2 linked regions of the Caenorhabditis elegans genome follow. The protein of the gene in region 2 interacts with the protein of the main gene of each other region in a pairwise test. Each region holds a gene or a part of one and is shown on either strand. Other genes may lie near its edges.

Region 1 (3,756 bases), on a different chromosome or scaffold from region 2:
AATAGACTTTGTTACTTTTATGAAAATTTACCCCAATTTTTTAGTAGACCAAGAAAATAAACTTGTTCAAAACTTCTTCTTGAAACTGTATAAACAATTTTTTTCGTAGCTTTGAATTATAATTATATTCCGTATTTATTTGTGTCGACTGGCAGACTTTTTTGTATTTTTAAAAAATAGTTTGATGTTTTTCATATTCTGAAAATACTCATTTTTATAGATTTGGTAACTAATAAAAAAACTATTTTTAAGCACAATTAGTCTCCTAGGTTTATTCTTCGATGGCAAATTGTGATGCGAACGGCAAAAAACTATAATTTTTTTGAACAAATTTTTTGCAAATTTTAACTGTTTCTATGAAGTGTTAAAGTTTCTGTTCTTCCTTTGAAACTAATAAGCTTGCGCTCCACCTTTTTTTAAATACAACGGTTACTTCTGGCCAAAAGAGTACTAAATCAAAGGTGTGATGATCATGATCATAGTGATGAAAAAGTTTGTCTGGTCACTTGAGAGCAGTTCCATCTTCTCTCCTCTCATTCTCTTTCTCTTCAGCAGGTCCATCCGGCAATTGCTTAACAAAAATTGAAAGAAGAAAGACGAAAAGTGTGTAAAGTCATGTATATAGTGAGCAAAAAGATAGAGAGACGCAGACACTGAGAGAATGTGATTCTGTTTCGTGTCCCGGGGACAGAAGACGCAATGAGGGACATTCTTAGTTTCTCTAAGTGTGGCTCTCGCAACAATAATATCACTCGATTTACTGATAAAATTTTTCTTATTTTGGTTTTTTTGTCGTATTTCAAAATAACAACTTTTCGTAAAACCTAGTACTGTTTCGGGCTTGTTAACTATTACAACTGTGAAACGGTAATTTTTATTATTTTAATTTTCAATAATTTTAGTTTTCAGTGAAATACATAACTGATTTTGCAACTCCTACAATCATTGAGTTCTAATTATTTAAACTTAATGAAAGTGTAAAAAATCGTAGAAATAATTTTTTGGGTCGAACCCCAAATTCTGATAGATGAAATGTGGCCTTTTCCCTGTTATAAAAAATTTTTAACCTAAAAGTTTTACTATTCTTGAAAAAACTGCTCAAGTGACCAGACAACATTTTTCAAAAGTTGTACGTCTTACATACTCATGGACAAAGGTGGAATAGATTTGAAAATGTTGTAAAAGCTTTACCATTTCAAAGAAACAGTATAAAATTTAAACACTTGTTCCAGAATGTTATTTTCATTTTTAAAATTAAAAAATTACAAGTGTCTTTTCTATTTTAAGAAAACAAAAATTAGCATTTTTCAATTCCAGCAATGGCAAAATTGTGATTGCCGTGCACATTTTACCCGGTCTTGGAAGCTATTTTTAAAAACTAGATACATTCTCATTCAAGTCTCAAAAGGTGTTCAAAACTTTAAAAACAATAACTTTAACACAAGCATTAACATTTCAACAAAAATTATGATTTTAAGGATTGCGTCAATTGAACGTGAATCCATTGTGGGAGCTTTAACACTTAAATGAAACAGTCAAAACAAAAATTGACAATATGGTCATTTAAGTACCATCCTTATAATTCCAAAAATGCATTCTACTGGCGCTCCTAAATGTCAAATTTAGTTGGAAATTGGGTTCAAAATCTTTATAGAATTTAAAAATCTAGTGAGAAAATATTTTGAAAATTAAAACAAATTTTCAAGATGTCTGAAGTTTTCTGGAAAATGGAAAATATTCTTGAATAGTGTACATCCCATGAATCTGCAATTATTGTCAGATTGGGTAAAGTTCGAGAACTATAAAAACTGTTACAGTACAAATTTCAAAAAAAAATCCCATTTCTGACAGAACATATTAGTCTTCCGTATTTCACATTTTTCATTTATTCTTTCCTTTATTTTGTTATACAATTCTTCAAACTCCCATATTCCAGGAATGATGCATCATCCTCATCCATTCGGGTCAAACCTGGCGGTAAGAGCTTTCAATTAATCTACTCCACAATCCCTAATTAATTTCCAGAACTCATCAGAACCACAACAGCCATCTGGTCAATATCTAAATCCTGCAGCAGATGCCTACAACTTTGACACCTTTGAAGATTCTGATAAATTCTCACCGAAGGGAAATGTGGCGGCGTTGAGAAATGTGATACATGGGCAGTTGGATATGAAGACACCAACTGGAAATAGTTCCAGATATCAGAAACCAGCGCCTCCGCCTGTTGGTGAGTTTTGTTTTTCTAGGCGTTCTATGTATTAAGCTACGAAATAATAGTTTTCGGAAAGTAACACATAGCTCATATGAATTCCTTGAAACTGTAAAAAATGTTAGTCAACAAGATAGTCAACAAATACACGATTGGCTGAGACCTGGTACCTCGACGGACCTGGAAGATGAAGCAGCAATTTTGCAATTAGATTTTTGTCATTTTTTCTATTAATAGTAAGATATTTTGGTTTCTGTCCGAATGCTGCAAACAGTAACAATAAAGTTTTGAAGTAGTCTTATAAACTATCTAAAACTGTTTTTTTTGTATAATTTTTTCTGATTTTGCGGAAAACAACTCCTGATGTCTCTCCTAACCAGCAATATTCAAAAAATCCAAATGTTTTGATGTTCAATAAAATAATAAATTCCAGACTCAACTCCTTCCTGGGCCAAAAATGTAAAAGTATACGAACCAAATGGATATGTGGATCCACATCTTAACAAGCATAATATGGGAAGAGTACTTGATGGTCCTGTCAATCCAAATAAATATTTTCAAGGAGTGAGTTTTATTTTGAAAAAAACAGCGATACAATAAAGCAACGAACTTTTCAAACTGAAAACAATGTGCTGAAATAGTTAAATTTAGTTATTACTGACCATTTTTTACTGATATTATTTTCTTTTTGGCTTTTTTTACAAGCTATGAGTGAAACACGTGAGTTTTTTTCTAGAAATTATTATCGACTAAAGCTTCACTAAAAATTGTAAAATATGAGCAAAATTATTTTGAGTTTTGAAGTTTTCTACTTTTCAGAAATACAATTCACAAGTAATAATAGCTTCTATATACGAAATTTCAAAAATTTAACAGTTTTTAAGTTAAAAAAGAACAAACCGATCAGATCAAACCGGAAAATTGTAAATGTCCTAAATGGCTTTCACGAAACAGTAGAACTTTCTTTTTAATTTTCCGAAAACACAACTTTTCAGTTCTATTTTGAAAATTGTACATTCCGGGAAGTTTATGAAAAATCCTTATGTAGATAAAAATTTACGCAAAATTGTTTTAAAAAACGTTAAAATTTTGTGTACAGTTTGAAGATTTGCAAAAATTTAAAACAATGAAAATACTTTTTCGTGTTGTCTATGAAAACTACATTACTATTTTTTTGTGATAGGAAAACTTATAGGAAAAATGTTTTGAGTACTTTTTAAAACTTGCAAATGCAAATGACCTGAAAAATCGCCAAGACATTTCATGTTGTTCTAAAAAATTTAGTGCTTATTCTCTTACTTAGACTTGTTGCGACACACTGAAGATTGAAACCAATAAACATTTTTCGCTTGTTCTATTGTCATGACATAAAATTCCTGAAACAGAAAAAATTGTGGTTTCTATTTTTTTTTTTTCAATTTTCTATGAAAATTGGGTCAAATAGTGTCTGAAAGTTGTCATTTGCTGAAAAAGTTTCACGGCAAACCCTAACTCAGGCACTATTTGAGATAATTTTCGAACTTTGCAGAAAAAATAAATATCAT
Region 2 (3,756 bases):
GGTATGGCCCCCGATCCCTGTTCAAAAAACCCCAGCGTCCGCCTATCTACATCCCTGACGAAATAGTGTCTTAAACTAAGAGTGCACCCATACATCTAACTATAGGTCAAAAAAACTCGGCGGCGCGCCCGGACGCAAACGACGACACAAGAAACATAGAAAAACCGGCAAACCATTGGGCGAGAAAAAGCGTTTAAAACATAGAGACACAGAGACAATCCTACAAAAAACGTCTCTCGCCACTGGGCTTCTTCGGTCGTTCGGACGCGGGACGGACCGGGAGGTGAGAATGGAGAAATAGGAGGGAGGGAATAGTACGGGAATCGGGGGAGATTTAGAGAGAAAAAGAACCGATGAAAAAACCAAAGAGGCGTCGTTCGATTATTATTTGAAATGTTCGGTTTACTATGCGAACGATTGAGGTGACTGTGTGTGTGTATACACAGGATGGGCTTGGGAGGAACGGGACAAAAAAGTGACCTTTGTTGACAAGTGGATGTCTGGGGATACGAAAGTTCAAAATTTACAGTAATCGGGGTCAGACTTCAGAGAGATTTTGGTAGCTTATCTCCTATATCTATTAACTTCTGACTAACAGAAATACTTTCAAGTTTTGGTGTTTCTTACCGATATGATAAAATATTTAGGCGGATAGTTTTCTTCCTGTTTGGACAAATAGATGTCTAGAAGCTATAAGAGCATACTAATCAAAACTCAAGCTCCTCCTCCTTCTTCCAATTCAGCTGTTCTCATCCAACAGTACCACCATCTGTTTGACCTCTTCTTCACCTCGTTCCATCGCTTTTTCCAACTGAAAAACCGCTCCGAAAACGTCCTTTTCGAGGCTGGCGCGCGCACGCTCATTCTTCTAGCAAAAAAAGCCCCCATGAAATTGTCTGCACATGTCCATGAATTGATGAAAATAGTGTAGACATGGGAGGAGATGCGCGCAGTATGAGGTGAACAGAAAAAAAATTGGGAAGCGATGAAGGGAGAGAAGGTCGACGACGAACAGGCGGATGGGACACAACGGGGAATAGGTGGGAGGTTCGAGAAAAAAATGGGAGAAATGGAGAAAATAGACATAAAGTGAAGAGTGACATTCATAACTAATAATCTAGAAGTTACAGTATCTCCCAACGGACGAAACTAGTGATCTCCGGCAATTCTGGAAACTGTCCGAGCTCGGTCGATTCGGCAAGTACTACATCAGGGGTGTGCGTCAAATTCGCCGAGTTTGTCGTTTGCCGAATTTGCCGAGCCGACAAATTTTAAAAATGTGGATTAGCTGATTTTGCCAAATTTGCCGTGCTCGGCAAATACTAAAAAAGTCCATTGTCAAATTTGCCACACTCCTGACACGGAGGCCTTATAGTTAGTTTCTGAACTCTAGACCTCCTAGTCAAACAAATCAAAACTAAGGCTTTGGTGGAAGGCAGGCGCGTTTTCAGATCCTGGTGCATGCCTGAGACCTGCCTGCCTTCCGTTCTTTTCTCATTTCAGTCAATTTGATAGTTAAAAAAAGAAAAAACTAAAAACCTTACCTGATACAGTTCTAACTCCGCAGACGACGAAAACGGGATGACGTGGTTCTCTACCGACGAAACCATTCAGCCCGTGTCTCCGAATATCATTCGCGTCTGGCGCCGCACAAGGTCCGGGCACGACCGGGTCAGGAGGCTGTGGAACAGTGAGGCCGGGGTCTATAATAAAAAAGTGGTTGGATAGAGGTGGAGGTGATAACTGATAATATGCAACGCTAGAAAAAAAGGAAAAAAATTAAGAGAACATAGGTCAACTGGAGGGGGGAACACGCGTGCGTTGAAAAAAAAGCAAAGGCATTGAGAAATCGAGAGGAACAGAGGAACAGACAGAGCCAGAATAGTGCAGCCACACTCTATATTCTCTCTGCAATCTCTCATCTTCTCCATACTATTTCTCATTCAGTGATATCAGCAGTGGCGCGGCGTCTTCTCAGCGGCGGTGGTACCGGTCGCGGACACCCAGGGCAGAATTGCCCGGGGGGGCGCAAGTGACCCCCACAGACCACGGGGGGACGCATGAGGGAAAAAATGGCTGGCACTGCCTGGGGGCGACGGCAGTGTTGCTGCACAAAAAGTGCGTCTACACTCTCTTCGCTTTACTTGCTCTTTCTGCACTTTTTCTGCTGCCCTCGGCCGCGTCCATTTTTTGTGTGTTACTGGCAGCGGTACCAGTCCGGTGCCGACCCAAGGAGCCCAAAGGTCTCTGGAAGAGCAATTGATATGATCAGAAGCAGTGGAAGGCATGAAGAGCAGTTGAAGAAGGGGGATTCAAGTTGGTGTTTGGGATAGTGAGACTTTTTTTAAACCGCTGAATCACTGGAGAAGTACTACATGAGTACTGTAGACTGTATATGTGATGTTGTATATGTTATTGATATGAGTACTGTTGAGTACAGTAAGGCCGCAAAATTATTTTGAAACTCATCTTATTCGATTTTTTTTTCAGAATTCACCAAAACAAATGTGTGGTGGAATTCAATAATGTTCGTAACTTCAAAAGAGGATTTTATCAAAAGTTGCCAAATATATTTTGTTAAAAGCGTTTTTTCGGCGAAAAGGTTGCTGAAATACTTGTATTCTAAAAATCATTAGTATAATTTGAACATGTTTTCAAACAAAAGTATAATTCGTTACAGTAATGCCAAGATTGAATCCTGGAAAACACCTTCTTTCATAAAAATGAAAATTTTGAAAAATGGTTTTTACTGATTCGTAGAACAAAATTGTAAGCAGATGGCGTGGTTCTTGAAACTTCTGGATTAATCCATCTGAAAAAATTCCGACTGATGATTTTGATAATGTGTTGTTTGATCAAAAAACGAAATGGAACTGATGCTTTAGGATTTTTCTAATTTCATCTCACTGCAAAATATACAGAATCTATTGTATTTGGAGTAGTAAACAATTTGATTGTTATAGTTTTTACAAAAAAATATTTTGAAAATTCTGGAAAGTTGGTAACTAAGAGTTTCTTCACAGTTTTATCTTCAGAAACTTTGAGGGCTCATCGTGAGATTGGTTCTGGAAACTCGTATTTAGAAGTTCATAAACTTGTGGGATGTTGATATGTTTGCATGGCAGAATGCAAGAGGATTTGGTGGAATTGAGGTATGTATCAACACGTTTTTTAAAATAAAATCAAAACATTTTCAGACAAAATGTTAGTTTTCAGACAGCATAACTTCCATGTTATGTACCTACCTTCTTCTGACGTATCAAATTCTACTATTCAATTGTACGGAGAACCCTCAACGTTGCCTTACAGTTAGTGGGGTGCTTCATTACCCATATACACTTGAAAGTGCTCTAGTTTTTTATGAAACTTCTGAAAATCAATAATATGGTTATGGTGATTATTTGGCAAAGCGCACGTGGACAGAAGATAGGATTGCTTATCCGTGGTTTGGTCTGCCAAGAAATTCTTCAATGTCAGTTATCAAGCTCAAGTTCCCTGCTCTCCGAGTGGTCATGAATGGTACGGCTGTTTTTGGCGATTCTGCTGCCATGAAACTCTAAAAAAAACTTATATTTAGTCTTGCTCGTTTACTGAAATGCGTCCGAACTTAACAGGAAAAAGAAAGATATAGCTTTTTTTATTGATTATTATGTAATTCTATTTTTTCTGAATAAATTCGTGCATAACAATATTATTTGAATTTGAGCAAAAACTCAAAACTACTTCGAGAATTTTGATGTGTGTTTTTGCTGCTTG

What was found. Proteins that work in one complex are often made in the same cells at the same time.
Region 1: the proteins of mab-10 (region 2) and sorb-1 interact in binary tests that used the Caenorhabditis elegans proteins (3 or more experiments, as listed by UniProt).

The regions. Positions count from the first base shown.
Region 1 is NC_003282.8:13,748,398-13,752,153, forward strand, and holds the start of sorb-1 (SH3 domain-containing protein), read left to right. Parts: upstream 1-1,935; 5' UTR 1,936-1,938; coding exon 1,939-1,977; intron 1,978-2,025; coding exon 2,026-2,230; intron 2,231-2,255; exon of another isoform or gene 2,256-2,276; intron 2,277-2,461; exon of another isoform or gene 2,462-2,485; intron 2,486-2,645; coding exon 2,646-2,776; intron 2,777-2,787; exon of another isoform or gene 2,788-2,808; intron 2,809-2,862; exon of another isoform or gene 2,863-2,886; intron 2,887-3,099; exon of another isoform or gene 3,100-3,120; intron 3,121-3,358; exon of another isoform or gene 3,359-3,379; intron 3,380-3,392; exon of another isoform or gene 3,393-3,413; intron 3,414-3,529; exon of another isoform or gene 3,530-3,550; intron 3,551-3,756. UniProt on the Caenorhabditis elegans protein: Required for organization of sarcomeres in body wall muscles and for maintaining normal mitochondrial position in myocytes.
Region 2 is NC_003280.10:10,526,036-10,529,791, reverse strand, and holds the start of mab-10 (NAB transcription cofactor mab-10), read right to left. Parts: upstream 1,709-3,756; 5' UTR 1,545-1,708; intron 420-1,544; exon of another isoform or gene 1-419. UniProt on the Caenorhabditis elegans protein: Transcriptional cofactor. Heterochronic protein, involved in timing of a subset of differentiation events during the larval-to-adult transition.